Linked DNA regions of Bombyx mori. The protein of the gene in region 1 interacts with the protein of each later gene in a pairwise test. Links are inferred from orthologs where the notes say so. Each region holds a gene or a part of one and is shown on either strand. Other genes may lie near its edges.

The links.
Region 2: the proteins of DENN domain-containing protein 1A (region 1) and ras-related protein Rab-35 interact in a two-hybrid assay, tested with the Caenorhabditis elegans proteins (2 studies listed by BioGRID). The link is inferred for Bombyx mori from reciprocal best matches to the Caenorhabditis elegans genes rme-4 and rab-35.
Region 3: the proteins of DENN domain-containing protein 1A (region 1) and DRK interact in a two-hybrid assay, tested with the Caenorhabditis elegans proteins (3 studies listed by BioGRID). The link is inferred for Bombyx mori from reciprocal best matches to the Caenorhabditis elegans genes rme-4 and sem-5.
Region 4: the proteins of DENN domain-containing protein 1A (region 1) and intersectin-1 interact in a two-hybrid assay, tested with the Caenorhabditis elegans proteins (2 studies listed by BioGRID). The link is inferred for Bombyx mori from reciprocal best matches to the Caenorhabditis elegans genes rme-4 and itsn-1.

Annotation. Positions count from the first base shown.
Region 1 is NC_085107.1:6,839,354-6,847,090, reverse strand, and holds part of DENN domain-containing protein 1A, read left to right. Parts: intron 1-2,337; coding exon 2,338-2,595; intron 2,596-2,853; coding exon 2,854-2,955; intron 2,956-4,007; coding exon 4,008-4,120; intron 4,121-4,423; coding exon 4,424-4,532; intron 4,533-4,689; coding exon 4,690-4,878; intron 4,879-7,737.
Region 2 is NC_085122.1:8,794,915-8,803,451, forward strand, and holds the start of ras-related protein Rab-35, read left to right. Parts: upstream 1-4,031; intron 4,032-4,205; coding exon of another isoform or gene 4,206-4,465; intron 4,466-4,828; coding exon of another isoform or gene 4,829-4,928; intron 4,929-5,477; exon of another isoform or gene 5,478-5,719; 5' UTR 5,720-6,023; intron 6,024-6,220; coding exon of another isoform or gene 6,221-6,377; intron 6,378-6,455; coding exon of another isoform or gene 6,456-6,513; exon of another isoform or gene 6,514-6,629; intron 6,630-6,721; exon of another isoform or gene 6,722-7,633; intron 7,634-7,982; exon of another isoform or gene 7,983-8,537.
Region 3 is NC_085123.1:5,828,622-5,837,129, forward strand, and holds the start of DRK (DRK protein), read right to left. Parts: upstream 4,865-8,508; coding exon 4,787-4,864; intron 4,709-4,786; coding exon 4,611-4,708; intron 3,228-4,610; coding exon 3,108-3,227; intron 1-3,107. Other genes in the region: RpSA (small ribosomal subunit protein uS2), read left to right, coding at 7,086-7,184, 7,371-7,604, 8,167-8,331.
Region 4 is NC_085117.1:632,525-640,918, reverse strand, and holds the start of intersectin-1, read left to right. Parts: upstream 1-3,546; 5' UTR 3,547-3,681; intron 3,682-4,620; 5' UTR 4,621-4,647; coding exon 4,648-4,770; intron 4,771-5,543; coding exon 5,544-5,642; intron 5,643-6,184; coding exon 6,185-6,263; intron 6,264-8,394. Other genes in the region: MIP18 family protein galla-2, read right to left, coding at 1,855-2,042, 2,873-3,149.

The DNA.
Region 1 (7,737 bases):
GTAAATGTTTATTATATCCATTAGATAATCTTTTAAATGTCATATTATGAATGAATATCAATGATATATATCAGGTATGTAATATGGAATTGCTATCCCACAATTCACACAGCGATCCATAATTTCAACAGTATCCAATGCAACAATTTCAAGTCAAACGTGTGAGCGATCTTCGGTGTCCAGTATAGAAGCAATTGTCGTACAAGGCTGGCAGAGTTGGAATCCGTAATAATAAAGCAGTGATCGTTGAAAATATAAAAACAGCCCGATAGATACACACTCAAAATGCGTCGAAGATACAAAACGAGTAGAGCAGAAAAAACCAACAAGCGCCAAAAAATAATTGTATAATCTATGAACAAACGTCATGTCAGCTTACTGTCAAAGCTGTCATCAAAAATACAATCGATTTTAATCGATTTGAAATCGATAATCATATTACTTTGCTAAGTAATAATAGACTTTTTCTTCATTTATGTATATAATCGCAATTAAATCCGGCGCATACCGCACTTGTATACAACAAGTATAAATCGCTCATTTAATTACTTTGCATTAATTACCTAGTGCAATGTTTTTATTTTTAGAATCCTGTAATCGATTAATTAAATCGATCACACCGTTATACCGACAAAAACTAACTTTCTCATTTTTCTCCGGTCCCAGAAAGAGGATTGAGGTGATTTTTTATATTCTTATATAAAAAAATATGACAAATTTTTTAGACTACATTCCAAGTTATTACATTTTTGGCCCACGATTTTCCGTCTCCTTTGACGGTTAGTCAATAAATAATGAGTTACACAGTACCATACTTTAACTTTACATAGTACAAGTGCACGAATTAGTGCAAACAACAATGAGAACGTACAAATTTAATGGAGGTTTTTGCTGGTTAAAGAAGCTCTCAGGAATCTATACTATTTAAGGTCTATACAGATAAATGACATTAAACTTTCAATTGACAACATAAACATAAAATTGACACGTCATCATTATTTTAGGCAAATAAATATGTGAGATAGTAGTTCGTATCAATTGAAGCGTTTAGAAATAATAACGATAATTTATTATCTGCACTCTCGGTCCATCCTAAGCGGTGTGGGCATCACTCGTATGCTCCCAGTATTATAATATGTATTATTTTAATTATCCTGTCCGAGAATGTTATAAAAAAATGTATCAGCTAAATATTGATTAACTGGTAGTCTCATAGTGGCTATCTCGCGATCAGTGTAAATTGTCTTTTAAAGATTGCAGTAACGTACATACATCATGCGTCTAATTTTTTTATTTGGCTTAATTCATTAATCCAAAACTGTGATGGTTTCCAAAATACTATTTATATATTTTAATATAGGTGTCCCGCTGTTTGTCAATAATCTTTTTACGCTAAAGGATCTGAGTATTTACTATCTATAATACGTTTGTGTAATAATTTTGCTTTCATGAGCCCAGGAAGACTGTCCGTAATTTCGATACCACAAATATTTTATCATCCATTGTGTCGAAATCCTAAGTAATTAACCCTCAGACACAGCCTACTGAATTTCTCGCCGAATCTTCTCAGTGGGTCGCGTTTCCGATCCGGTGGTAGATTCTGCGAAGCACGGCTCTTGCTAGGGTTCGTGTTAGCAACGTCGTCAGGTTTGAGTCCCGTGAGCTCACCTACTAGTTAAGCGGATTCAGTTTAGGTAGGGAAAAAAAAAGTATTGCAATATTCTAAGGTAATTAGTTTTAGATCCTACAAGGAACACATTACATCTTTTTTATTGTGCGGGAAGCGGAATTAATATACTATAAAACAAGTAAATAAAATTAGTCGTCGAAGTCACTACTTTAATATTTACGTGACAACCCTAAACTTATCTTTATCACAAAAAGACTTGAATAAGTCCAATAGTTCTATAGATAAAAAGATAACTTTCCAAATATTAGTTTAAAAACACTTAATTATTCAATATATTGTTATGCTTAATAATGGGATGTTTTTAGTGAATAATTTAATGTGTTCGAGTTAATAGTTAATAAAATGAATAAAATTTATTATTTACACAGATATTAATTCAACTAGGGCATTTTTCTCGCTATGCTAATTTTAAGCTTATAACAATTATGCATGTACATACCTTATTAGGCTATATCTAATATTCATTGTTTTCATTTTTAAAACGAACCTAAATACTATAAACCTATAAACTATAGTTTAAGTAAAATTCCAGTATTAAAGCGGATTTTTTTCTGGTGCCCAGGAGCGGCATTAAGTTTAAATCTGGCCCTGCGTACAGGCTTTATGCCTTTCTACCATCGTCTTATCGTCTTGATCTCATCTTTCAGTGCAACCTAACAGAATACTTCAGTGCGGTCGATACAAAATGCATGGCGGGTCTGTGGGCAGCATTGTTACACGAACGTCGAGTGGCCATCGTAGCATCGAAACCATCGCGTCTGTCGGCTTGTGTCCAAGCGGCTAACGCGACTCTGTTCCCGATGTCATGGCAACATATTTTCATTCCAATATTACCGAAGCATTTGGTCGATTACATGCTGGCGCCGATGCCATTTCTGATTGGAGTTCCTAGAAGCGTTATGGAGGTAAATAATGTATTTATAGTGTTGCCCAAATAAAATTTTACTGCTTTTTTAATCGAACGTTTTGGCAAAGGCTTCGTCAATTAAATCCCTCAAAGAAATTTTCGTTGGAAATGTTAAGTTTTCAAATATTGCTGTAAAGTTTTTATGAGATTTGGGCCGTATAATTCATATATTTTTAAATATTATATTTATTGTGGGATAGAGAAAAATATAACTGCGATCGTCATGTATTCTTATTATTTTTTAATTTTGTTTCAGAATGTTAGGATGTCTGAGATAGGTGACGTTGTGATTTTAGATGTAGACGCGAATGAGCTTAGATCTCCTTTCAACGACTTGGAGACTCTTCCCCCTGAGTTGGTAAGTAATTTCCGTGCGATATTGTTTACACTAAACGTACAATAAAGATTTTTCTTGAGCATGTAAGTCTCGTCTTCTGAACAATATAAACAAAACGTAAGCGCTCTGTATTAAATGTATACCTGTGCAATAGTTTTTTGGTTTGCACTTCCAGTGATTAGTTATACATCGCGTTAAGAGAGATGTTGCTTTATGTTTGCCCCCCAAAAGATGAAGTGTGTTTGATTTGTTCAATTAATGTCTATGATGAAGAGACGACGGCACCCCTAGTTTTACGGAAGAATCATTACTCAAAGACAATGATAAAAGATCAACATAAAACAAAATGAAAATCCATTACGCCGGCTCCACACATTGGCCCTAGCATGGGCCCCAACGTCACTCGCCTAACGTGTGGAGCTAGAAAATAGCATTGGCTCCAACGTTCGAGCGATCGTCGGTAGTTGGCCGTCGAGTGTCGGTTTAATCAAAGGAATCTGTGCCAACGTTCGGGATCCGTCCACATGTTGGCGCTTTGCTCAGTCCTGTTGCAACATGCGTCGACTGTGCATGTCGCGATGTCATCCACCATCTCCTTTGTCGTGGCTCTTTCTTTTTTTTTAATAACAAATATTAATTATAATATGCACTCAGTACTGTGAAAGCGCTTAGAGCAATTTCAATTCCGGTATCGCACATCTTCACGTAGGCTCTGACGGAAAGGACCTAGTATAACAGCCAACGTGTGGACACTTCACCAAATTAACCGCTTAATGTTGGTAACAACGTTGGGGCCAATGTGTGGAGTCGGTGTTAGCATATTCGTTTTTTTTAATCATAGTTAATAAACAATAAAAATTAAAAATGCCTATTTTAGTAGCTCATGTAGCTCTAATCGTTTATTTTAAGATTTAAAATTTGTGACATTATCACAAAATGCAATTCGAACAAAAGTCTTAGGTATCATTAAATTTCATTGTTGCCCGTATGTGCCATTTTATAGGCAAAATAGATTTTCTAACTAAATAAACGGCTTAGAGGATAGTGGATAAAATTTATGTGTTTATTTTCAGATTTCGAGTTTAAAGAAGGCTTTGAGCGACAAAAACGCTCTTGGAGATGCTGTTTCAAGAGCATTTTTACGCGCCCTTGTCTGTTTAATCGGCGGGTACCGCGATGCGATCAAGTTAGTGATTTGAGTATTATTAATTCGCTTTTAAACATACCAAAGTTTGTATATTAAAAAATAATCTTGTAGTGCTTTTGTGTTGAAAAAAAAAATTTTTTTATTATGTAAAACCAACTTTACATAATCACTGATTATCAAGAACCTTTTAAATAAGATTGGTAATATCTATAATTTACACACAAAATGCTTTACTGGTAATGTAGAACAAATCCGTTTAATTATGGGTAAATTGGCTGTAAATATGAACGCGCATTTGACATTGTGATGATCATCAGAATGCATAATATATATTTTTTCTAGAATTGAAAATGGTCAACTGATTACATTCAATCCAGAAGCTTTTGTGAAAACGAGGAAAAACATGCAGCCATTCCTTAGAAAAATACTACAATCCCAAATATTCCAACAGGTAAGTTCGCATTGATACATATTGTAGCAAAAAAACAATTAAGCCCCTATTTTCAAGAACGTTACAAATACACTACCTATTAAATAACACCATAAAATTCATAAAATATCGCCCAAAAAAAAACACTAAAAAGAAATATGTATATCTTATTCGTCAGTTTATAGACGAAAGATTGGATTTGCTCAATTCCGGACGGGGTTTCAACGATGAGTTCGAAGTAGAATGCAACGCGTACGCGGATAAATTGAACACGGGTAGTGGTCAGAAACTAAAGCAACAGTACAGAGATTGGGCCAAGACGGTCAAGAAAGAAGGTGGAGCTTTCTTCAAAACCGTCAAAGATAAGGTACTGTTCAATATGTTTATGGTGCAATGACGTCACTATTTGTCATTTTGTCGCCTAATACGGGCTGAGAAACAACAAGATTTTATGTTAGTGCTTTGGGATTGATTTTCGTTTAACTAATCGCATATTTAAAATAAACATACCAGAGTGTTGTTTTTGTTAATTTTAATTAAAATGGTAAAGGTTGCATGTAGTTATAATGTTGTCCATAAATGTTAATTAACGCTATTAATAAAAATAATTTATGCTAATAATTTGCAATAATGGACGAAGTTATCATGATGAATAACTACCGGAAATAATGTAGTAAATTATGGGGCGGTCAACGTTTATCGAGCATGTCCGGGAGAGTATCGTTCCCGTTTTAGTAATGACTCGTACTTGTATAGATATAACTTACTAGCCTCAGCTTAGCATTCGGGACTCTAACCTCTACGTCATCGCGTCATTCAGTCATTGTTCCGCTAGTTCTGTAAATGCACGATTTGACAGATTATAGACCACAGAGATAGATCCTACACGACGCGATTATTCTTGCACGCGATTCTCACTCTACAACCCTAACCACTGGTGTTTTGAGTCATAGACTCGGACGCCATATTGTGATACAAATAAGGCTATTTTCTGTATGTGTTTAATAAAGTTATATAAAAAAACGCGCATTATATAATTTAAAAGAATAATCTAAGATAAAAAGTTAAAAGAATCTCTAAGACAAAAAAATTAAATTACTTTTCAAATAAAAAGGGGTTAAACTCTAGTCTAGATAAACTATTAAATTTTCGTTCAGATTATTATCTGTTCAATGAGATGAATAACACAAATAGATACGGATGTATAAAATTACAATATTCCCACATGAAAATGTTAATTAACGTCAGTAGATAACACGAAATGTTATGTTCTTTATCGCATCATTTATGTTGTTTATAAATGAATCTGTTATTCCGTAACGAATAAATGATAAACGTTACATTAAAAACCCACTACTTCAATTACGTTGATTATGAATATAAGATTTGTATTATTTATTTGAATGTATATATTATGTTTAAGAGTATTTAATTTTCTATACATGTTAAAAATTGAATATCATAATATATACATCTACACTAATATATAAATCTACAGTGGTTTTTACGGATGTTCCGTTATAGCTACTGAACCGTGCATCCGATTGACTTGAAACTTGGTATCATGTAGAAAATACGAGGGCGGCACTGAAAATTTCGGGAATTAACGAAGTGACACAACGTTACTATTTAAAAATGTATTTATTGCTTTTCGAAGTATTCTCCGCGAAATTTGACACATTTTTCCATACGATGAAACCAATCATTGAAGCAACCATTCCATTCGGAAGTTGGGGTCTCCAAAATGGCCGTTTTGTAGGCGTCCACAGCTTCTTCAGGTGATGAAAATTTCTGTCCACGCAATTTATTCTTTATTTTAGGGAAAGTATAGAAATCATTAGGGCTTAGGTCGGGGCTGTACGGCGGATGGTCTAATAATTCTATGTTTTCTTGCTCTAAAAACTCTTTTGTTCTGTGCGCGGTGTGAAAACTCGCATTGTCGTGATGGAGGATGATGCGGCGGTTGCAGTTCTCTTTACGGAGTTCAGAAACGACCTGTGGCAAAGAAATGCTAGCATACCATTCTGCATTAACCGTTCTTTGTCCCTCAAGAGGAATAGTCGTAACATGGCCTGTTTTGGAGACAAACGTGGCCACCATTTTTTTACAACACTCCGTGAACGAACAGTTTTTGTTGGCTTTAACTCATTTTCGAACACCCAAACTCGTGACTGTTTTTTTGTTTCGGGTTCGTACGCGTATATCCAGGATTCGTCACCTGATACAATGTTGTATACAGCATTTGAGGATCCTGCGTGGAATCTTTCGAGAGTTCTGACGCACTAAGTAACGCGAGCCGCTTTTTGCTCTTCACAGAGCGAATGCGGTATCCATCGGGAAAACAACTTTTTTACACCTAATTGTTCATGCAAGATTATTTGTATTTAACTCATGCCAATGTCTAAAGTTGCCTGAATTTCGCGGTATGTCACATGTCGATCTTCCTCAATCAGCTTACGCACAGCATCAACGTTTTCTTGGGTGACTGCAGTTTTTGGACGACCTTGACGGGGATCATCACTGAGCTTGACACGTCCACGTTGAAACTCAGCAAACCAGCGATAAATTGTGGTTTTGGATGGGGCTTCATCACCAAATGCAGAAATCATCCGGTCAACACACTGTTTTTGTGGTAAACCACTTCGAAATTCATAATAAATCATCGCTCTTGAATTTTCTCGAGTCAATTCCATTTTCTTAACGACTAAACAAGTTTGACAAAACCTCGTGACAAGACCGAGAATCTTTTTTTAAATAAATAAATGGTATTCGATTTTTAAAACCAAGGAGTTTTCAATTAAAAAGATTTTAATATGACAGGAACAGTGGAAATATTCCATTCCCGATACTTTTAGTGCAGCCCTCGTAAAATAAAAAGAATACTTTGTTCTATTGCATCTCTTAAGTATGTACACAAAAAAAAATTACACTCATCTGCGTGCTAATCGAAACATTCGTTTAATTAAAAATAAATTAACTAAAAAATTATAGTATAATATTGCCTACGTAAAAAACCGTTTATTTAGTTATTAAAGAATTAGAAGTTAAAAAAGAAGTAAAGTGTGACAAAGAGGCATCGAACATACTGTTTCACATAATGGAGGACTTTTTTTACCTGTGCTGATAGCAGAGGCAATTTCAGCTTCGCCTTACGCGTAGGTGAGCTCTCGAGGCTCAAACCGGGAGTGTTGCTAACACTGACCCTAACAAGAGCAGTGCTTCGCAG
Region 2 (8,537 bases), on another chromosome or scaffold:
CTTCTAGTAAAGTAAATCATAGATTAAGCCACTGCTTTTTCTTAGGGATTCCCCAGAATCCCAATAAGTATAATCCGCCAAATTTTTATTTACCTATTTTCGTTGATGTCACCAGAACTTACTTGTATTGTAATATACAGGTACTTCATGTACCATGAAAGATTATCATGGTAATTTCATTTACGAAACCTTGTAATTGTCATTTCACTTTTGCTAGCAGTTCCTTCTTCAAAGACTGAGGTGGAAAGATTATTCAGTGTTCTCAAATTTAAAAACTGACAAAAGAAACAGGCTTTCTAATGAAACCCTGAACGGCTTGCTTCATAGAAAGTTCCCAACTTTGCCAGCAAACAATTGCTCAATTTTAGAACCGAACAGTGTTAGGTTGTGCAGCAAAAGAATATAAAAGCAATGCGTCGACTTCCTTGAAAATTCTAATCCTATAGATCTATGATCTTCTGGGGGCGTTTATATTATATATACCTACATTAAATAATATGCTGTGGTTTATTTTCTGTATTTTATTTACGCTTTCTATATAAAGGATTTATGAAAGTTGTCTAGGAAATTTTAGGGTAAATTCAAAAGAAACTAGGGTAAAATGTGTTAAAAAAAACGTAAGTGGAAACACTGCTTTGAAGTTTTCAAAATTCCAGGGCCGTAAAACAATCTCAAAAAAAAAAAAAGTTTTCAAAATGTCGTAACGATTTAATTTTTTAAATCGTTTTTTTTTGGTCTTGGTGTGAGTTATTTTACGTTGTAGTATTAATTTAGAGCAACTTTTAGCTTTATGAGAATATTAGACGATTAGACATTGAGAAACTCTGTTTTGAATTCTCTTTAGACATAACTTGGCTCCAATACTTTTTTCTTCGTTAGCGTTTCGTAAGCCTGTGTAACTATTTTCATTTCTTACAGAATGTTTATTATTAAAAATCAGCATGCCTCGAAGATCGAAAATGAAATGCTATTTCGGATGCCTTGATAACGGTGAGTTTACACTATTTTCCCGGTATATTATTTGCTAACAGAATTATTATTCATAATATAATTAAATGAATTAGCACCAACTAATGGTCCTTCCTATTTCTGCTGCCTAGCTATCATATATGTTAAGTTTTGATCAAAACAGTCGGTATTAAGTCTCGTACTATCACACACACACCTCAGATAATAAAATTGTCTCGAGTGGGTGGAAGTATTTATGTTTTGCAACTCAGCGTATTATATGCTTATTGTCAAGTGGGCCCGAACTAGTTTTTTGGAATGATCAATCAGTCATGCTTTCCTGTTTAAATAAAATACAGCACAATTGATCTCACATCCAAAGTTAGATGATGGCATTCACGTTTTGTTTCCTGGTGTTTGATAACTAAGTTACACCAAGTGGCCTGTGACCACGTTCATCCTTCTACCCAATATAAAATAATGTTTTTATTTTTGTAGACAAAGGTTTGATAATGACAAAATTTTATGGAAAAATTATAAGGAGCACTAAAATGTCTGAAACATGAAAAGATTGATGCACTATATTTGAACCAGAACGTGTTATGTAATATATTAATTTGTAAGTAAGATTACATTAACACTAAATTTTTCATGGTCGTATTTTTTCAATATTTGTTACATACTTAAGATACTTTGTTTCTCCGTTTCAGAAGAGAAACTGATTCAGCAAGGAACGTGAACTCTCAAGGGATCTTAATTTTTTTTAAATATGTTTATAATTGATAAATTAATAATTGAAATAGTTCATAAGAACTAAATTGATGCCAATTTTGTTTTAAAATAGGTTGTTTAGTTCTTATAGTTATAGTATTACGTTTGAATAGTTGTAATTAGTAAGTTAGTAATATATGAAAATACTGATATAAATTTTTGTAAATAACCTTTTGTAAATTCTACGAGAAGATGATTTTAATTAATGATCAAAAGTCAACGGTCTTTAAAAGCATTATTTGCAATTATTTAGATTAACTGTGGAATATATTTGCTAAGTTGTGTTTTCTGTATGAGCAGATATAAATGAAAATGCCCAAACATGATTATGTTTCTTACATTTTCATTATGTGAAATCAATATGCTTGTGACTGAGTATATTAATAATTTATTAAAACTTAAGTGATAGACAGCAACCCCTATGGCACTGCTGAAGTTTATAAGCACTGGTGACCACTTATCATGGGCCGGGTTGCGTGCTCGTCTGCTGTTGAGTGCAATAAAAATTTTCGAAACCCTTTCTATTATTTAGATGTAATATTAGTGTACATTTAATTTGGATTAAAAGATAAATTTACATTTTATGTTTGCATGTGTATGTTTATAATTCATTTGCATGTAACGAACACCAGTTTCTTTTGTAACAAAATGTAAACTAATGGTTTGTAATGAATGTAATTAACTTTAAGATGATTTTCTTTCAATCTGCTGTTTGTTTCATCTAGTATTACCAAAGCTAAAGCATCAGAAACGTCAGAATAGAAATAATTTAGATAGGGAATAAAAGTATAACTAATGTAATCATGTCTAAGATTACTATAAGCGTCATTAAGTACAAACTATCAATATTTAAGAGTACTTTAAATCATCATTACATTTTTTAAACATTTTTTGTTTTTCAAATCATGTAATAAAACGTTTGTGCAGATCAAAATGTCACATGTTATGAACATGATTGTGGGTTAATAGTTTCTTAAATTTCTAAATGTTTATAAGAATGCTAAGAATAATTTAGTATTCACTTTAGTGTGTGTATTATCTCTACAATGCTAGTATAAATGACAATTATTGTATGACGAAGCATAGGTAGTGTTTATAGATGTAATATTTTCATACAAGGTCATGATCTGTCACGATCAACTTTAAGCAAGAACTGCTATAGTTAAGAAACAAATTTATTAAATTTAATTCAAATTGTCTACTATGTTTGTAATGGAAAGCTGACATGTTTATATTTCGCACAAATGACTTAAGTGACATTGAATGATTTGATTATCTAGACTTAATTAACTTTTAGATAACTTTCGATTTAATGTTATTAAGTACTCTAGTAGGATTAATCTAGAGGAGTTATTGTTATTCGAAATTTTATACAATTGTACGTTCATACTATCTTTTAACAGTAAATTGTTTGTAATATAGGGAAATTAAATAGCTTACAGAGAATTACAGCTTTTTATTTAAAAAAACTGTTTTCTCTCTGTATGAAAAGGTCTTATCGATTAGAATGCTGAACACAATCAAACGTTCTTTAATATTTCATAAGTACTACCGGGAATTTCAGCGATTCTAAACGATAAGATTTTTTCATAGAGTTAATTATAAAAAATATTAAAATTACTAAAAAAGCCACCTGGTGGGGGGTAGGGAGACTAATAATCGACAGCAGCGACGCCTGCTGTCCCGGGCTCTAACTAAAGCAAAAATAAAAATGAGAGTTGCGCATCTATCTCAAATATATTAAGTGTATAATCTATGCTTAAATGTTATGTGTATTCTATCTATGCTAAGAACACAATATACATTTGGAAGAAGAGTTTCCTATTCTTCTGTGCTTTCATAGATGCTAAACAATTAATAAGCTAACATTAATAAAGAAGAAACAAAATTATTTGGTAGTAAAACCATTTTATTATGCTGTGGCTACATATCGTTGTCGACTTCTTGAAACTACTCGCGCGTCACCTATAGTATGTTGATTGGACTATCAATAGAGTTTCATATATCCTAGGAACGCATAGAGGACAAACATATAAATAGACATTTGCTTTTATTTATTTAACTGATTAAATTATTAATCATTATATGATTAAATTAAATTAATAAATTATAAATTTAAATAACAACAAACATTATTTTTCAGGATTTATGGCGAAAGTCTCTCGATAACCCACCCACCTTCGCCTTCGTGCAATAGTTTTTGATCTGGCACTTCCCCTTTGTATGGTCTTCTGTATTTTATGCGATCATGAAATCTGTCATTATGACCCTGCCAGAATTCAACGGACCTAGGAACTAAGAGGTATCCTCCCCTGGAAAAATTTAACTGTGTTATTTTTTTCATAATAAACCAGTTGATTTAATTTTATTGTAAAATAATGAGATTACATAATGTAATAATGACGACACAATTTAATAAAACATGAACATCGCTGTGTTGAAAGTCTCGATAAAAAAATTTGCTTGTTTAATACTATGAAAATTACCAGTTACTTGGTTTTGGGACTTCTTTCCCAGGTATCAGATATTCTTGCTCAAGAACCTTTTGCCTTTGACATAGGATATCTTTAGAAACTATCGGTGTACTTTGGTAGCTCGTACATGCTGCTATCTGATTGGCCACTGCACGTGTGCGAAAGTATTTTAAATTTTCAGCTTCTGAGAGTTTCTCGACTGTGCCTTCAATCCTCACCGATCTGTTCAGGATATCCCAATAAAACGTAGCAGCAACATTAGGATTCCCTTCCTTAAGAAAATGTAAATCATTATTATGATGTTAATTGGATGGACCTTTAAATTTGAAAACTTTCAAATTTTTATTCGTAGATATTACTCTACTTCCTAGTGTTTTTTCCATATTTCTAGATTTTTAGTGATAAAAATGCATTGTGTTTGTATAATACGAGTATATACTAAATATATTTACTGTAAAGGAAATCTAAAAGGTGCCTTTGTTTGAAGGCGAATCTTTATTTGTCGTTAATACTCTTATTATGGTTATATTCCTTAAAACAATTTCGGTTTAAAAAAAAAATTGAGTTGATTTCAAATAAACAAATCAATAATTATATGGCATAGGGTCCTCTTGAAAAAAATATAAAAGACTTACTATGTCTTTAGCTTTTTTACTTCCATAATTTGTGTAGAATTTGAATCCTTCTTTACCATAACCCTTACACAATACAAATCGGGCTGACGGAAAACCCTCCCTGAAATAATCATTAAAAACCATAACTATCCAGATCCCTAATGCAATGAGTAATTGTTTGGATAAAAAATTGATAAGTCTTAAAACATTACCCTCATATATCTTCATAAAAATCTCTGAATAAGATTAATTCAACAGCATTGATCTCGGCCTAGCTATGTTCTTATGATAACAATAATAGGGGTATTTCCTATGTTTGCTTTTGTATATGGATACGACGCCCGGTGTTAGATATCGATTGATGCGACTATTCTGGGGCTAAATTCTCCCAAGCAGTTTTTTTTATTTTTTGTTTATTGTATATGGGTGGACGAGCTCACAGCACACCTGTTTAGTGGTTACCGGAGCCCATAGACATCTGCAACGTGCATCTAAGGTCTCAGTATAGTTAGAACGGCTGCCCCACCCTTCAAACCGAAACGCATTACTGCTTCACGACAGAAATGGACAGGGCGGTGGTACCTTCCGGTGGGGACTCACAAGAGGACCTACCACCAGTAATTACGCAAATTAAATTAATTTTGTGGGTTTAATTTTTATTACATGATGTTATTCCTTCACCGTGGAAGTCATTCGTAAACATTTGTTAAGTACGTATTTCATTACAAAAATTGGTACCCATCTGCGGGATTCGAACATCGTTGCATCGCTAGATGCGAATGCACCAGACGTTTTAACCTTTGTAGCTACGATGCGACGCCTTTAAAAGATAGCGATATTTCTAAGCAAATAGGTTTGCAATACGTGTTCACGAACTGCCACTTTAATGACATTTAATTGCATCCGAGTCAGGCTCTCAACAATCTGTTACCAGAGGATCCTCAGCTACTTCGGTCATATTTCCCGCCGACAGTCAGTTAACTTGGACAAAGTGATTGTGACGGGCAAAGTAGAAGGAAAGAGACCCCGCGGCCGATTACCTAGCCGTTGGTGTGATCAAGTAACCGCTCTAACTGGGTTGCCAGTCGCAACCGCCATTCGAGCAGCTGAGGACCGGACGAGATGGAAACAGCTCACGAGACAGGCAACGGTCGAGTTTCAGGGACACGACCTTCAGCAATGAAGAAAGCGACGAAGAAGAAAGAAGAAGAAGTGGGTAAAATATTATATTTTGTTTACGTTCAATAAACTTAATTGAGTTCACCGGTATTTTCTATAGAATCTAATTTTTTTTTTTTTCTCAAAAAACTAATGGGGACTCTAAATATTTCCAAGTTTTTGTGCTGGTTAATGTGGCTAGGATATCAACTGTCTTTGTTTACAAAACGCAGTCTAGTTTAAAATGTAACTCACTGTGAAACTGTGGCTAGACACATTGCACTGGGCTCCAGAATCTTTTTCGTAGCGCGAGCTTCTTCAAACCAACATTTGAATTGTCCAAACGGCTCTTTCCATGTCACTGATTTTTCTAGAAACGCCCCATTTTTATAGGTATCGCAATTTCTCATACCTAGCAAAACAAAAAAGATACAGAAAGCATTTTTAACAAAATTGTCATTTGTTTTTTAACTAATATTCGAAAACTTACCACCAATACCAATACTCATAGTGCAAGTGTATGTGACAGCTTTCGGTAAATGAAACATTTTATATTGTATTAACCGTAACGTAAAAACAATTAAATATTTCAAATTTATTATTTGTTGAAACACAATAATCGTTCAAGGTCATCATTATTTTTAGATTATCGATAAATTAACATCTACAAAAAATTTATAAAAGATAAACACAGCTTGTTTGCTCGGCTTAAATTCTATTTAACCGAATTTAATTAGTATATTTTATTTTTATTACCTCATCAAACAGACGGGCATTGGGCCTCCAGATGGGGATCGACATCAGTAATCTCTGTGACTCAAATGATTTGCTGCCTATCTATAATATTCTTGAATAGTTACAGAAAAACTGGCGTCTTATGAGCCCGTAGGGTAATATGTTCCTGTTTTAAGGGTGGGATGGCCGTTGTACTATAGAACTGAGACCTAGAAATCGTGTCTTAAGGTGGGTGGTGGCATTTACATTGTTGATACCTAAGGGCTCCCGTAACCACTTAGCAGGTCGTGATCCGTGATGGTCACCCGACTTAGCAATAAATAAATATTATAATAAGCTTTTACTCTGGTTTCGCCCAAGCACACCCATTACTCATTCGGTATATTTGAAAACTTGCAGCAGTGGCACTCATAGAATAAAACGAAACCTGGCAATAAGCTTGAATCGTGCTAGCGACATTCTCAATATTAATGTATATATTCCGATGGCACATTTGGACCGTCGACGAGCCAAGACACCCGCTCGGTGGAAAATCTTGCTGCTCTCTATCATCACCAGCCCACACTTGTTCACCTCCCAGTTTCTATAACTGAGCACTATTTTCGGCTCTCCTCATCCACTTCCTACCGGTCAGCTTTCGTAAATCATCGCGCTGTCTGGTCAGGAGACGCCACAAGCATTGGGCGTGTGCCACAAAAGCGGTCTCCGCTGAAGAACTCGTTTGTTCTAGTGATATTCGGATCTATGACATATATGTCTAGTCCATTGCCATTTAGCTTGCACTCTATGAGGGTTTATTTTTCTGAAGTAGGTACCTAGCACTGATTTGTATCTGGTTAGGCTGAGGGTATCATGCCGTATCTGTCTAATTGGACGTCGAAATTCAACCTTGTAATAGTCGACGGTCGGTTCCAGTGTAGTACCGGCCGATCACTGAAATAAAACTGAACTTTACTACATAGAATAAAACAATTTCTCTGTCCCTATATCCCTATGTATGCTTAAATCTTTAAAACTACGCAACGGATTTTAACGCGGTTTTCTTTGATAGATAGAGTGATTGAAGAGGAAGGTTTATATGTATAATAATATCCATTAAATAGTGGAGAAATCAACAATAAATTACAGTTTCCGAAGCGAAGCGAGGGCGGGTCGCTAGTATGTAATATTTTGGAAAGGAAACATTTGTCATTTGTTGTCAACAGACAGAGTCATTGTTGGACGGTTATCTTTTGAAGGGATTGGGTTCTGTAGGTGATGAGGGGCTATTTAAAAACACAACTGCTTCATTATAATTATATTGCAGATAGCTTTAACACTTTTACACCATTATACAATTTTTATCTTTATATTTTTTATAAAACTATTACATGTTTTTCATGCCGTGTCTAGATGAGAAGTCACTGACATTTTCTTACGAGAATACAATGATCTGTTTTTTAAAACATTTAAAATAATTCCAATATTCGAAATCTAATCAAGTGTCAAGTGTTGCCTGCCATTACATTTAATATACAAACTCCAACACACCCCCTCAACACTTGCACACATTTTTCTCCGTCTATAATTTAATACCAAAAAAGAATAACGCTAACCTGACCTTCATAAATGAATTACTTTCCATACATACCTTAAAACCTCACAACCACTTACATTCCGTTACTTCCACTTAATCCCTCAATTCAACCAACAACTATTCATTCAACCTTTCAAACTTAATACCATCTTTAATGTCGCTTCCTTTAATCCTTTCTTACTTCTCCAACTCCAATTCGATCAAAAATGTACTTTCATTCAACCATACTACCATTCAACCTTAACCTCCCTCTTACTCATT
Region 3 (8,508 bases), on another chromosome or scaffold:
TTTTGGCAGCCAATTGGCAAAAAAAACGTGGCTTTTATTATTTCGTCATGTCTGTCTGCATTTAATAGCAATTTTGTTCGGCAACTACTACACATTTTACGTGGACTAAGTATAGTAAGGCCAAATACAAAAACATAAAATGAACATTGAATAAAGTTTATAAAACATGTAAGTTTCAAACAAAATGATAGTAGATAGTGCCTGAAAATTTGACATTTATCTCCAAAATTTACTCAAAAATGACATCTTGTGAATAGATATTAATATACGTTAATTAATAGTGATCATATATTTAAAGGAACTAGAGGTCCCACAGTAGTCGAAATTCGACTATAATTAACTGGAATTGTAAGTTTGTACACATACTATAATCATAAACTTCGCCAAGGCTACACTATAAAAAAATATTAATAAAGACAAACAATATTTAATCTATTCTCAATTTGAATTTTGAAGTCGTTGTGGCCTAAAGGATAAGACGTCCGGTGCATTCGTATGTAGCGATGCACCGGTGTTCGAATCCCGCAGGCGGGTACCAATTTTTCTAATGAAATACGTACTCAACAAATGTTCACGATTGACTTCCACGGTGAAGGAATAACATCGTGTAATAAAAATCAAACCCGCAAAATTATAATTTGCGTAATCACTGGTGGTAGGACCTCTTGGGAGTCCGCACGGGTAGGTACCACCACCCCGCCTATTTCCGCCGTGAAGCAGCAATGCGTTTCGGTTCGAGGGGTGGGGTAGCCGTTGTAACTATACTGAGATCTTAGAACTTATATCTCGAGGTGGGTGGCGCATTTACGTTGTAGATGTCTATGGGCTCCAGTAACCACTTAACACCAGGTGGCCTGTGAGCTCGTCCATCCATCAAAAAGCAATAAAAAAAAATAAAAAAATTTGACCAAAGACGTCAAGAACAAAAGTTTGACAATATAGTATGCATGCGTGTGTGCGTCAAATACATGGTATGTGGTGTGTGTAATGTTTTCTTTATTGATTTAATGTATCTTTTATGCATTAGTTTTAAAAAATATTAGCATTGTGCACTTCTTCTCTATATTCTCTATAAGTGTGGATAATTTCAGTCTCCTCCGTCAGCGCAATTTTCGTAAAAAGGGATACAAAATTTTTGCTTCACGTATTAATATATAGATAATGTGATGTAAAGGCAAACTGCCTGAAAAATTGCAATGTTTTCATTGCTGTAGTAGATAAGTAGGAATTCGTAACTTAGCGTAGATTTTTTACTTTCGAAATTAGTTTCCATTAATATAAAAGCCGAGTTTAGAAATTTGCGACTTGTAAACGATTACATGCTATTGTATTTACTTTATACTTTATAGGTAGATCGTCACTCATGGATGTCAGCAATGCCAGGAGCATTTTATCAGTCGTCGTGGCCTAAAAGATAAGACGTCCGGTGCATTCGTGTTGACCGATGCACCGGTGTTCGAATCTCAGGCGGGTACCAAGTTTTCTAATGAAATACGTACTCAACAAATGTTCACGATTGACTTCCACGGTGAAGGAATAACATCGTGTAATAAAAATCAAACCCGCAAAATTATAATTTGCGTAATTACTGGTGGTACAACCCCTTGTGAGCCCGCGCGGGTAGATACCACCACCCCACCAATTTCTGCCGTGAAGCAGCGAGGCGTTTCGGTTTGAAGGGTGGGGCAGCCGTTGTAACTGTACTTGAGACCTTAGAAACTCTTGTCTCGAGGTGAGTGGGGGGGCATTTACGTTGTAGATGTCTATGGGCTCTGGTAACCACTTAACTCTAGGAGGGCTGTGAGTTCGTCCATGCAAATAAACAATAAATATCCATCTCCATAGCACACACAGTACAAACACAGAAAGAGCCGTCTATCCAAATGGATCTGTGACATAATTTTAAAACAATTATTTATTACAACAACAATTTATTTTAGCTGAACAGATGGGTGAACAGATTCACGGCCCATCTGGTGTTAAGTGATTACAGAAGCCTACAGAAACTCAACAGAACTAGTTCACATGATGAATATGAGGTAAATTTTACAGCTTTACAAGTAAAATGAGTAGTATTGTATTTGTCATAGTTTGTTTTTTTTCTTTATTGTTGACTGTAGAAGGAAATAAAGTTTAGTCATTCTAGAAAATTTGATAAGGATGGAATGTATTTATTTGTACGTATTTCAGATGGTGTATTTTTCTTATTATTGAGATAAGAAAAATTCTGAATTTATCAAGTTCTCTATCTATCTTATGACCAACCTTCCATGAATAGATAAAATGTTTTAATATTCACTCAGTTTTAGAATTCGCACACATGGTTAAAACTACATTTACAAAGTATTTATTTACACATTACATTTTCTGACGTCCTAAATACATTTATCTTATAATGGTTTTTCAATGTTAAATTGCATAAGACTATAGATGGTTCTTTTTACTCTTCATTTACTTTATTTATACTGCAGTGACCCGTGGATGCAAATGCTGGTCATTCACCTGAACTTAAAATGTAAATGTTATTGTGATTCCAATATATATTTTTAGATAGCATTGCTATAATGTATTTTTCTGTTAAGACAAAGACAATTTTCCCTTAGTTATAAGCTGTAATATACTATATACATACAATATTAGTTTTATAAGTATTACATAAGGGAGCTTTTTATTTTATTACTAATAGACTCTATTGATAAAACATTTAGAGAAACACTAAGTTATTTACATGCAAACATACAGAAAACATTCCATCCAGATAAAATTGTTTATTTAAATAATAATAATGAACGGTCTTCTGTTGGAATGATAACTACTGATATCTACTTAAATGATAACACCTAATGATCTCTCAACACTTAGTCTGCGACATCTGTTCATGACTTAACCTAGCCTAATCTATCCTAAGAAGCAGGGAGCCTGGAGATCAGTAATACAGGTCTTTGAACCTAGTACAGACTGCAGTTCTTTCAAAGGCTAACAAAATAAATTGTAAGGTTAATCTCTATTTGTATTTGTACTATAACTTTAAAAGAGAAATAATAAATAATGATTATTATTACTGTGAAAAATAATAAACATTACATGTAAAAATACAAAGGACTTACTTGACTGATAAGGAGAAGTCGCCAGGGCTTGATTCGCTGATCCTTATCAAGAAGCCACCTTCAGGTTTGTTTGCTAAGAGTTTTTCTGCATCTGCTCTTGTAATACGCCCATAATACCAACTGAAAAAGAGAGGTTATGTAGGCACACCTTTAAAATACAAATACTTACTATTTTCAAATTAATAATTACTTAAAAATTATGGTTTTTTTTTAATATGTCCCAAGACAGTTTTTAATCCTTAAAACTGGTGGATAGTGAGAATTTACACCGTAATATCTATAAGCTCCTGTAACTACTTGACACAAGGTGGTTTGTGACCTCATTCTGACATCCAATTCATTAAGTCGATGCACTGGATGTGCTTAGATTTCTCTTCCAGTCTAGCTGATACAATATACACCACACAATACACCAGTAAGGTATAAACAAAAAATAAGTAAATGTTCTACAAATATTTAGAATTTTTATTACTATTATTACTAATAGTAGTTTTTGGTGGTCAGGTATGCTGTAAGCATACACTGTATGTGTGTCTCTGTATACCATATTTGTCTTGCAGCAATTGTGCCTTTAGGTTTGAACCTTAGGACAGTTATTATCACAATGCAATTGATACTGCATCTCACATCTCAAATTAGGTGGTCATGGTAGTATGTTCTGCATTCATATTATAGTACTACTCAACACTATGAATTAAAGGAGCATTTGTATCACTTCAGGCATAGCCTTCACATTAATTTTATTGCTTGGCAAAGCATTAGCACTTACAAAATCAACAGGTTTATTTCTGATGTATAATCAGATTCTAGTTGAAGAGACCATTCTCTTTAATATATGTTTAATAACTACCTTCTATCTATTCAAATCTTTTCTCATTGAGAATCATGAAATAAAGTTTAGTACTCAAATAAAAAAAGCACTTTTCGTAATTCTTAATTGTGTAATAAAAAATACACCAAATTTATAATTTACTTTGAAATCAAATATTGTTTTCTCCTTTCAAAATACACTTCATATGTTTAAAGACACTTTGGCTTTTATTATTACAATTGGTAATGTAAACAAACATTTGTTGATTAGTTTAGTGGCAGCTGGTAAGTTACATGAAATTTCTGTTGTGTATCTATAAATAACATTCATTTTGTATGTTCTTCTTCTAAAGAATAATGAAATGACTTTGTAGATTAGGTTTGGCAACACTCTCCGGATACCATAGTAGTTAAATGTAAATAAAAATGAGTAGACCAGCCCAAGTTTAATTATAAACAAACAATGTTTACATTATCAGTTTTCTTCAGCAAATGTTTGGAATGAAATGAAAACATTCTTTTTCTAAATTTTATCTGAGATCTCTACATAGCTACACAAGAGCAATATCTTCTTGCTTTCACAAATAAAACCTAAGTCAAAAATAAACTGGTTATTTTAATTAAGAATATTTTAAAATCGTTATAAGTATCAGTTATAATTTTAAGACTAGAAATATTAGATATCCCACTTACCTGTGATTTTTCATTTGTATGTAATTACTAGGAATGAGCCCTTCTTTCCCGTCTAATTCAGCTCTGTACCAGTTCATATCGTCCTCCATGTTTAGAATCTGCAATAGGAACCATTCTAGAAAGAACTATCGCTAGGTATTAAACAAAACAAAAAGTTAAATAAATATTTAACTTACTTTTAATACTTGATTTTTTCTAAAACTGAGCTCATCATCTGCGGTTGCAGTAAAATCGTGTTTTGCTAGAGCCTCCATGATCAAATTAGGCACTTCACTGAAATGTCACCGAATTCTTAAAAATAACTCTTAAAGTACACAAACTTTCCAAAATGTCTAATGTCAAGGAAGTAAAATAATCATAATGCACGTATTGTCTCACAATGTTGAATAAAAAAGATGCGTTTTAGTTACAAATTTAGAAAAACCCAATCGGAATCCGTCTGTACTCAACACATCACTCACTTTACAAATTGACAAAAAAATCAAAATGTTGCCACTTTGCAGCTGTGTTTTTAGCTCGAAAATTTACTTGCATTCATGTGTGTTTTTGATACTGGCAAGGAACATAACATCAACTTTACCTGTAAAGACTAAAAACAAATTCATTCTACATTTGAATTGGATCTCACTTATAAGAATCGTCTACTATAAGGATTCGTAAAACATGTAGATGAATTTAAAAACCTAATTCATTATGAAAATATTGAAATTGACTAAAAGATTTAGATTCAGACGCCCCAACTAAGTTTAAGAGACGAATTGCCATCAAAACTTAGGTCTAAATTTAAACTTTTCAGCAGAATGTAGACTAGAAGGACGACTATGGACGAAGGACGACTTGCCATTAAAGACCACAAAATGATATTGCCTGAATGGTAACTTGGCTAATTTTTTTTCACTTTCAGCATATACATATTTCTCATTAAGGAAGACCGAGAGTGAGAAAATAGACAGAGCGTCTCATGAACCACTCGACCGTGGAGAGAGGGAAAGGACAAAGTGAGCTAGATAGTTTATCTTATATATAGCATTCCTTATTAATGGGGAAATTTGATTTAAAGATGAAAAATGAAGAAAACCACAATACTACACACCACAAAAGAAGTTTCCCTTTTTTCACGTGCACCAAGTTGTACACGCACCATATTTTTTTTAAATATTGTGGTTGTGATGAAATATTCTTTAACTTCATCGATATTATCTTACAAATAATCACTATTTTACATTTCGTTACTGTTGTGTTTATTTTTGCTATTTATTTGCTTGAACGCGTGAGCGAGATCAAAGCCCGCCTAGTTTGATGTGGTTACCGAAGCTCATAGACATCAAAACATGAATGCCAAATTATGACATGAGGTTCAAACTAGCAATTGGATTCTAGTAATAACTGCCTTTGCCTTTCTAGCCGGCATCAAGTTTAATATGATACAAAAGTTCCGATACGTGAAATAATTACCACTTAAATGGAGGACTATAATCAGTAAATTGTAACATATTTTTGCCAAACAGAAACAGTTTATTGCTATCCAAAAAAATAAGGGCAATAGCATGTACTTAATTTTATTTACAACTGCAAAATTAATTTTGAAAAATTCATAATAAAAAATCTGCTTACAAAAATACAATTTTGCTAATTCTCCTTTCTTAATTTGAAAGCAAATAAATACATAAAACCAAAAAAATGTATAATAAAATTAGAAAAGTTTGATTAAAAATATAATAACGTTATATTACGCAGCTGACATTCTTTAAAATAAATTGATTTTAAAAGATAACTATGTACATAATTTGGGAAACAAAAAATCGCAAGCTAAGTCATTTCTACTTATTTTCCGTTAAAGTAAAAATAAAACTAAGTTAAAATAGTAAACTATTATTTTATTTATTGAAGTATAATTTCAAAAATTCGTTTATCTGGGATACATAACACGTCAAACGTACACGTTGTATTTTATCTTTTAACCTCCTCAACCTCTCTTCTTTTTTGTGTATTATTACTATCAAACTTTATGGACATTACAATAAGAATTCAGACGACAAATTAATTAATTTCAATTAAACGATAACCTTTGAAAATCCATGATATTATTATTCATAATCTGAAGGAAAGCTAATTTAGACAAAATTCTTTAGTTTTTGCTGAAGAGGTATGGCTTCGATTTTTGTGTATAGTATAAGCTTTATTTTCTTTGCTTGTTTGAATTCTAGTCCAAGGACAACTTTGACAACTAGTTTTCATTGACATATTTGACACTTCTTTAAGTCCATTTCGCCTCCCAGTGGCATTATACGCGTAAGTAATAAATCGAAAAATTGTTTTTACATCGTTTAATAGAACTTTTAATGTGTTGTGTGATCAAAATGTATGTTTAATAAACAAGAGTAAATTATCAGTATTTGATCACTGAATACGAACATTGTCAATTAATCGTGTGGTGATTTTTCAGGTTTAGTCGTAACTCAAATAAGCGCAACGATGTCGGGAGGATTAGACGTGCTCGCCCTCAACGAGGAAGATGTCACCAAAATGCTTGCTGCAACCACCCATCTTGGGGCAGAAAATGTTAACTTCCAGGTAAATACATACAAAAATATTCAAATCTGTTATAAACATAACCTAACAAAACCATGATGATAAGAGAATCCGTTCCATTTTATTCTGATTATTGTATGACGATTAATTCTCCCAACTGAGCTTCAATTACTTAATAATAAGCTCTGCTTTAAATGAGTGGTATTTGAAGAAAATGTTGCAAAACAGATGGAGACCTATGTCTACAAACGACGTGCTGATGGTACCCATGTGATCAACTTGCGTCGTACCTGGGAAAAACTTGTTCTGGCTGCTCGTGCTGTCGTAGCCATCGAGAACCCCGCTGATGTGTTCGTCATCTCATCACGGCCCTTCGGTCAGCGTGCTGTACTGAAGTTTGCCGCGCACACCGGTGCTACGCCTATTGCGGGACGTTTCACACCAGGTGCTTTTACTAACCAGGTAATAAACCATTAAACTATTTGTTACTATGTAATGACATTTAATTATTTATTGAGTGTACTTCATCTACAACCCAAGTATGTTAGGTTTTCATGAGTCAAATGGGAATATTAAGTAAATTATAATATTGATACATTTATTTTTATAATTATTTCTTAAAAAATAATGTGACACATTGAAAGTAACTAGAAATTAATAAATAGAAAAACATATGTATTAAGGTCTTTGTAGTTTTGTAAGGTTGTTACTTGGCAGATGCTGCCTTTAGAGTGAATTATCGTTTTTTTTTTTTGTGTGATATGTAAATTGCCACCTTTTTAAAGTAGATTAGGTACTGTACAAGCTGTTAGGCACACATTTTAATTCTCAATACATTGATCTGTTTTCATGTATTAAACACATATAAACTTACTATATTATGATGACAAACAAACTAAGGAACCACTGATTGCATTAATGCAAGCATGATTAAATTATTTCTGAAATCTTGGAAAGTAGATCTTAGCAATCTAAATTAGTTTACTCTTGAATTTACCCCCATTCATTTGAATTTTCTCAACAGATCCAAGCTGCATTCCGTGAACCTCGTCTCTTGATTGTATTGGACCCTGCACAAGACCATCAACCCATTACTGAAGCTTCATATGTCAACATTCCTGTGATTGCTTTGTGCAACACAGACTCCCCACTAAGATTTGTGGACATTGCTATCCCATGCAACACCAAGGTAATTTTTTTATCAACTACAAATCAAGCAAGGTTTATTTTTTCAAATGTATTTTGCTATAATGACAGATCTAATCAGAACTGGTAGTAGCACATCTTGTGAGTCTGCACCAGTAGCTACCACCTCCCTTCCTATTTCTGCCATGAAGCAGTAATGCATTTCGGTTTGAAGGCTGGG
Region 4 (8,394 bases), on another chromosome or scaffold:
AACTGCGCAACCTAATCCATATCCATACACCAGCCCAGCTGAGTTTCTCGCTGTATATTTTGAGCGGGTCGCGATTCCGATCCGGTAGTAGATGCATTCGCGGAGCAGCTGCTCTTGAGTTGTTAGGTCTCCTTCGGAGGCGCTCGGGCAACTTTTTATTAATTTATTGCTTAGGTGGGTGTACGAGTTCACGGCCCACCTGGTGTTAAGTGGTTACCGGAGCGGTAAATGTCGCCACCTATCTTGAGATATAAGTTCTAAGGTCTCAAGTATAGTTACAACGGCTGCCCCACCCTTCAAACTGAAACGCATTACAGCTGCACGGCAGAAATAGGCAGGGTGGTGGTGCCTACCCGCGCGGACTCACAAGAGGTCCTAACACCAGTATTGTTCGTAATTGTTCACATAAAGTATAGGCCAAAATTATCCGAAATAACATACTATACTATAACCCTAGTCATTGGGCACGATCGAAATTTTATTCCTGAACGCGCAGGTGTCACCTGACGTCAGTCATTCTCGCGCCGATTTAGCATTTAAAATAAAAATAATATCTTCGTATACATAATATTAATATAATTAGTATCGTCTAGTCCAGGGGTTCTCAAACATATTTTGTCTACAGTACACTTTGAGAATAAATTATTTTTTAGCGCCCCCGTTTTTTCACCTACTTAACCACTATAGAAAGACCTCGGTCGTTGTCTAAGTCCTCCAAGACGAAATTACAAATCGCTTCCCAAGCCTCTACACAACGCCCCCATTTTTTTTCTGGGTCTCTTACCATCCTTTATGCCTACAGCGACAAGCGGGCGTTATCGCCCACTTTGAGAAAGGCTGATCTAGTTCCTAGCTTAGTTTTCTCAGTTTTCTTGTTAAAATCCGAATACCACAAAAATATAAGTGTTTATAAAATAAGAGTTTGACTTTTTGAGTGCAAATTTCCCGCGAATACGAGCAGTAAATAACAAACCACATACATAATTTATTTATTTATTAACTATACAAAATATTTTTACATAAATTCACTAAAAATATACATTTTTTTTTCTATGATTATTTAGGCTATCAACTTTTATTATCCAGTAGACAGATATCAGAGCACATTGAAAACATAGTGTATATTATCATTATTCATGGAACACAAGGTCTAAATATTAATGGTGGTAGGACAAAAAAAAAAAAAAAACACAATTGCAAGTCTAGATCACTATATTTTTCTGACGTCAAGCAGTAATGAATTTCACTTTCATGATTTCCCTGGGCTCTAGTGACAGATTAAATACCATTGCCGGCAAGTTTGACCCATATGAGCAATAAATAAATATAAAATAGAAAGCCTTTTATTTCCTGCTAAAATACAAAATAAATAGGTATTTAATGTTTATTTATCTCTTATTGCCTAGATGTGTGGACGAGCTCACAGCCCACCTGGTGTTAAGTGGTTACTGGAACATCTACAATGTAAATGCGCCACACACCTTCAGATATAAGTTCTAAGATCTCAGTATAGTTACAACGGCTGCCCCACCTTTCAAACCGAAACGCATTACTGCTTCACGGCAGAAATAGGCGGGGCGGTGGTACCCACCCGCGCGGACTCACAAGAGGTCCTACAGGAACCCATTAAGCATTCAAGTATTTATAAGCAATAATAAATAATATAAGCTGTCTCCTTCAAAACAGGTACCAGCAAGTGACCAATGAAGTCATAGGCATCATATTTTAAGATCGATAATTGAATGATACGTCTATAACCTCAAATGTATATGCAAGTGAATCAGATGCCGTACCAGCATTCTTTGGACCAAAGCCACTGATAATCTGGCTTACAAATAAATTTATCCCTATCAATTAAACAGCTATGCATTGATTGATGATTTGCAGTAGATTATTGTTCTCTAAAGCTGCAGCAACTCTTTCCTTGTCCGCTAACTGTTTGTTGACCGCATGTTCGGAAGCGTGAGAGCCCTCCGATACTTGTACGGTCACTTTGAAACGGCTTGGCAGAGCTCGGAGTAGTTGAACTCGTATTGAAAGACCTGAAATAAAAATCAAATCTCATTAATTAAGCTTGCAGTACTTTTTTCCGGAAGCTTCACAACTTTAATTAGAACTATAACAGAACAGATTATCTACAAAAGTGTTTAACTGCACTAGGGGAATGAACAAGCTCACAGCTCTCATAGTTTATAGCCATTACAGATGTCCGTGGACATCACATTGGGACAACTGCCACCCATCTTGAGTCCTGAACTCGAAGTTTGAGCAACTCGAAGTTTGAGCCCTATTTTAAAATTACTCTCTCTTAAGCAAAAACAATAATGGTTCAAATTGGGAATAGGCTAGACAGTAGTGACTATTCCGTGGACAAAATATCAGACTAACGCATCCATATTAAAACAGCTCAATATCCAAAGGCTTTCTATCGTCTGCTTCAGGAAGATATTTGAGTTCTTCGATCATATTGGCCGAAAGAGAGGTGACAATTTTGAAATATAACTGGCGAGATCTTTTCAACTGCCTAAGATGAGAGATGAGAGATAAGAGTTTACGGTAACCCATTATCAATCCATTGAAAATGGTCAGCGGTAGACTGCACTTTAGTTGCACCCCTGAAATTGCTACCTTCCATGAGGGACTGTAGCTACTCCCCACCAAGCGGGCTGTATGATCGTCTACCCACGCAATTAAAAAAAGGAAGCTGTTCGTTGGCTGGGCATGAATGTTTATTTGCTTGCCAATAAAAAAACATTAGTATGATAATATTAATTTAGAAATATTGGCTGTTCCACCATTATCGGTGTGCGTTGGTTATGTGTGTGTTACTCTCTCATTAACTATAGGTTTTAATGCTAAAAAAAGTACGTACCTATCAGAGTCGCCATACTGCAATGGGGAATTGTCGGTGTAAAATTGACTAATACAGTACTATCATCGTTATTAACGATTATATTCTTCTCTTCCACCACCCTGAGCTCCTCGAGTGTCAATGGGTGTTCAGGATCATTTATATTTCGTATTAAATCAAATATTTCGCGATCATCAAATTCATCTTGCAAGTCTTCGTCGCGTTCCGAAGAAGTGATCTCCCGTTCTGAACCCTTCTCGTAAATGTGAGGGTTGATGTTATCCGCTGTTTTGGTCATTTTATAAGTTCGAACTTTTTATTATATCAATTCGTTCTACTCAAAATATATTTTTTGGTACAATTTTTCCTTATTATGAAAGGCAAGGGGATCTAAGCCCATACAGCCTTTCTACTCAAAATAATAACTCACTTCTATCTCTATCTCTTTTTTTTAGGAATTTTATGACATGGTAACTAAGATCTTTAAGTCATATCTTATTTTAGTTTATATTCTTAATTTTATGAAAAATGACAGACGCTGCTAATGTAATTCATATCTACTTACACAGAATAATAATGGCCAACATAGACAGTTTCCTTCGTTTTTTATTATTTATAAACGGCAAAATAATTAATAATTGACACTGGCTAATGCACAAACCGAGCGAGCCACAATAAAAAAATTAACTGTCAAAAACCAAATTTCGATTTTGACAGTTGCACCCAATCAAAAAATCAATACTTTATCTAGAACTTTGAGGGGTTTTACTCGATCCTTTTTCAGGAGGATCAGTCTTAAATCTATTCTCTTAGGTCAAACAACAGTTAAAGTAAGTAATACATTATGTAATTCCCTAGAATTTAATTCCTAAATATTTGTTTTAGTTCGCAGACACACCCCCTGCCTGTTGGTACCAAAAGAGTAGTAGTACTTATTATTAATTTATTGAACAACGTTGATTTTAACAAAAAAATGTATTGAATATTAGTGCTTAAGGTATCTTTAAACTTTATCCGGGTCACGGAGTTATAAAACAACGAGCTAGCAATATTAAAAAATTAAGAACATTATCTTGAACTGCTCTACCAATTGTAGTATTCTAATACTTATTGTATGTTGAGTTACTTATTGTATGTGACACACGTCTGTACGTCGAGCAAATATTTTAAATAGAACTTAGGTACATCTTTAATAGATTTAGAGAAGTGATAAAATATAGGAAAAATTTAGAAGTCTACTTTTCACTTGATTAATCAAGGCTTTTTCGTACTTTATCATGACCTACCATATTGGAGACATTCTATTCATACAATTTGGCTAAAGACACCGCTCCTGATTGTCGGGAAAAAGTTAACAAAAACATGTTGCAATGTCTATTGTTTAAAATCAAACAAATTTTTTTAATAGTACAACATAAACCTTAAACCGTGATATGCATTTCTTTTTTTAAATTTGATAAACCAAGATATGCAGAAACATGCTCATAATAAGATATTATCTGATGGTTTATCTAGTTCAATATTATAACTTAATATAGATATATTCACCTGTTCTAATATTAACTTCCCAAAGGAAGCATTGTTTGATTTCCAAAGACAACATTAAATATACAATGCCAAATTAAAATATTCTCAAAATTACTGCATTAATGTCAATCAAAATGTTGAAAATTAAACAATGAAAAAGGATTAGGATTTTTCTATGATTATAAATTTAGGCTTCCTGTAATGAAGACTGCATACATACTAAGAGGTATATCTTTTTTTAGGTTCAAAGAAACGTCTTTAATTCAGAAATGATGGCGGACCCGTGGACTATACAAGCACATGAGCATGCGAAGTTCTCGGAGCACTTTAGAAACCTTGGACCTGTCAATGGAAATTTGACGGGCGAACAAGCTAAAAGATTCATGTTACAGGTCAGTTAATTTGCGTATTTATTATAAATCTAGAACTTTTTTTTTTTATTGTCCTTGTAGGCAGATGGGCATACGGCCCACCTGATGGTGAGTGGTTACCGTCGCCCATGGACTTCAGCAATGCCAGGGGCAGAGCCAAGCCGCTGCCCTACTGCTGCCTAAAGTTAACTCAAATTTGTATGGATATGGAACAGCGCCCCTAGCGACCAACGTAGGCAAACGTTCCAACTCCAAACAATTTTTTTTTTTCATATTTATTTCGTTTCATATAAATTTGAGTTAACTTTTACGCGATCGAGAACGTTAAAACACTCGCACTAAACACACGAGATGGAATAAAGAGTAAATTAGGCTACTTCTATTTTAGAGAAATTCTAAAATTATTTTTACACGCTGGGGTTCGGGATAAATAAAATTTCCACAAATACAACCACAGTACAAATTAAACACCTAAAATACTTCGTAATTCGCTTTTTCCGCTTCGCTTCAGGTGATCCGTTCGCTGTTTCGCTTCGAGTAGTTCCGATTTCTGGCAAGTCGAGTCGTGTGGATATCTGTTTCCGTTATCTGACAATAGATGGCGTTGTACTTCCCGAGCGTTCTCGAGTTTACTAGTTCCTTTGATATTCACTTCTGCCATTCGACAACAGATGGCGTTGCTCTTATCGGCGTAACATTATTATAGAATAAAGTAATATTTTTTTAATTCCACGCAGACGAATTCGCGGGCACAGCTAGTTTAAAATAAGTTTTGTTTGTCTTTCTGTTCACAGTCTCAGCTTCCTCCACCGGTCTTGGGACAAATATGGTCACTGGCGGACACGAACGCCGACGGTAAGCTGGATTTGAAGGAGTTCTCTATAGCTTGCAAGGTGAGTTTCTGTGTAGTCTTCATAATTTGCGAATGTGCCAACGTCCGTATCCGGTTGAAAAATCGCTCATTAAAAATAACGATGTTAGGATATCGATATTTCCAAAAGTGAAACATCGATATAAAAAACATCGGTTCTTATGGACTATATATACATATATTTATTATATAGAAGCTTTTTTTAAATTTTTGCAAATAAAGTAACCTTTTTTTCGATCATAATCGATGTTCTATCGTACACAGACATAGGACGCCACCTTATGTTCTATCCGTGATCTTTTTTTTATTGCTTAGATGAGTGGACAATCTCACAGCCCACCTGGTGTTAAATGGTTACTGGAGCTCATAGGACATCTATAACGTAAATTCCACCACAAACCTTGAGATATGAGTTCTAAGGTCTCAGTATAGTTACAACGGCTGCGCCAACCTTCAATGCGAAACGCATTACTGCTTCACGGCGGAAATAGGTAGGGTGGTGGTGCCTACCCGTGCGGACTCACAAGACATCCTACCACCAGTAAAATTGTGTGTTCATTACAGATTATAAACTTGAAACTGCGCGGCTTAGAGGTGCCGAAGATGCTTCCACCATCTCTGATCGCCTCTTTAAGCCCCACAGGTGAGTCTCAAGTCTCGTTCGCCCGGTGGAATGTGACCGGGATCCCGGTGGGATAATCACGGGTATTTATGTAATGATACGGAATATTCCAGAATTAATGAACAATAAAATACTTAATTACTTTTCCTGTAATAATACTAAGAAATATTAATACGTGAAGCAAAAACTTTACCCCTTTTTTTACGAAAATCACGCGGACGGAGGAGTTTTCAAACTACCCACACTTATAGAGAATAAAGAGAAGGAGTGCAGAATGTTAATATTTTTTTTCTAAATTATGCATAAAAATACACTAAATCAATAAATAAAACATTACACACACTTTGACAATACAACTTTGACAACACATATTATTGTCAAACTTTTGTTTATTGTTTAAAGTCTGTGGTCTAATTGAGAATAGATTAATATTGTTTTTCTTTAATGTTATTTGTCTATAGTGTAGTCTTGGCGAAGTCTGTGATTAGAAGTATAATAAATAGTCTTTGACAATAGAACCGTAGTAATGTTCAAACTTATAATTTTAATCAATTATTGTCGAATTTCGACTACTGCGGGACCACTAGTAAAAGACTAAAGTAACTAAACTAAAGTAAAATTAAAGTAACTTTTTTAAACTTAAAGAGTTTAAAAAAAGTTTTAAGTAATAAAAGCTTTCCTTTCCATCGAGCTATAGGCCTATCGCGATAACTTCCTTGCTTTCCAAGGTGATGGAGCGAATAATAAATATACAACTCCTGAAGTATCTTGAAGATCGCCAGCTGATCAGTGACCGACAGTACGGTTTCCGTCACGGTCGCTCAGCTGGCGATCTTCTCGTATACCTTACTCACAGGTGGGCTGAAGCCTTGGAGAGCAAGGGCGAGGCTCTTGCTGTGAGCCTTGATATCGCGAAGGCCTTCGACAGGGTCTGGCATAGGGCACTTCTGTCGAAGCTACCATCTTACGGAATCCCCGAGGGTCTCTGCAAGTGGATCGCTAGCTTTTTGGATGGGCGGAGCATCATGGTCGTTGTAGACGGTGACTGCTCTGATACCATGACCATTAACGCTGGCGTTCCACAAGGTTCGGTGCTCTCCCCCACGCTTTTCATCCTGTATATCAATGACATGCTGTCTATTGATGGCATGCATTGCTATGCGGATGACAGCACGGGGGATGCGCGATATATCGGCCATCAGAGTCTCTCTCGGAGCGCGGTGCAAGAGAGACGATCTAAACTTGTGTCTGAAGTGGAGAACTCTCTGAGGCGAGTCTCCGAATGGGGTGAATTGAACTTGGTTCAATTCAACCCGATAAAGACACAAGTTTGCGCGTTCACTGCGAAGAAGGACCCCTTTGTCATGGCGCCGCAATTCCAAGGAGTATCCCTGCAACCTTCCGAGAGTATTGGGATACTTGGGGTCGAGATTTCGAGCGATGTCCAGTTTCGGAGTCATCTGGAAGGCAAAGCCAAGTTGGCGTCCAAAATGCTGGGAGTCCTCAACAGAGCGAAGCGGTACTTCACGCCTGGACAAAGGCTTTTGCTTTATAAAGCACAAGTCCGGCCTCGCGTGGAGTACTGCTCCCATCTCTGGGCCGGGGCTCCCAAATACCAGCTTCTTCCATTTGACTCCATACAGAGGAGGGCCGTTCGGATTGTCGATAATCCCATTCTCACGGATCGTTTGGAGCCTCTGGGTCTGCGGAGGGACTTCGGTTCCCTCTGCATTTTGTACCGTATGTTCCATGGGGAGTGCTCTGAGGAATTGTTCGAGATGATACCGGCATCTCGTTTTTACCATCGCACCGCCCGCCACCGGAGTAGAGTTCATCCATACTACCTGGAGCCACTGCGGTCATCCACAGTGCGTTTCCAGAGGTCTTTTTTGCCACGTACCATCCGGCTATGGAATGAGCTCCCCTCCACGGTGTTTCCCGAGCGCTATGACATGTCCTTCTTCAAACGAGGCTTGTGGAGAGTATTAAACGGTAGGCAGCGGCTTGGCTCTGCCCCTGGCATTGCTGAAGTCCATGGGCGACGGTAACCACTCACCATCAGGTGGGCCGTATGCTCGTCTGCCTACAAGGGCAATAAAAAAAAAAAAAAAAAAAAAAAACATGTGTGGGCGCGTCCATGTATCTATGTGTG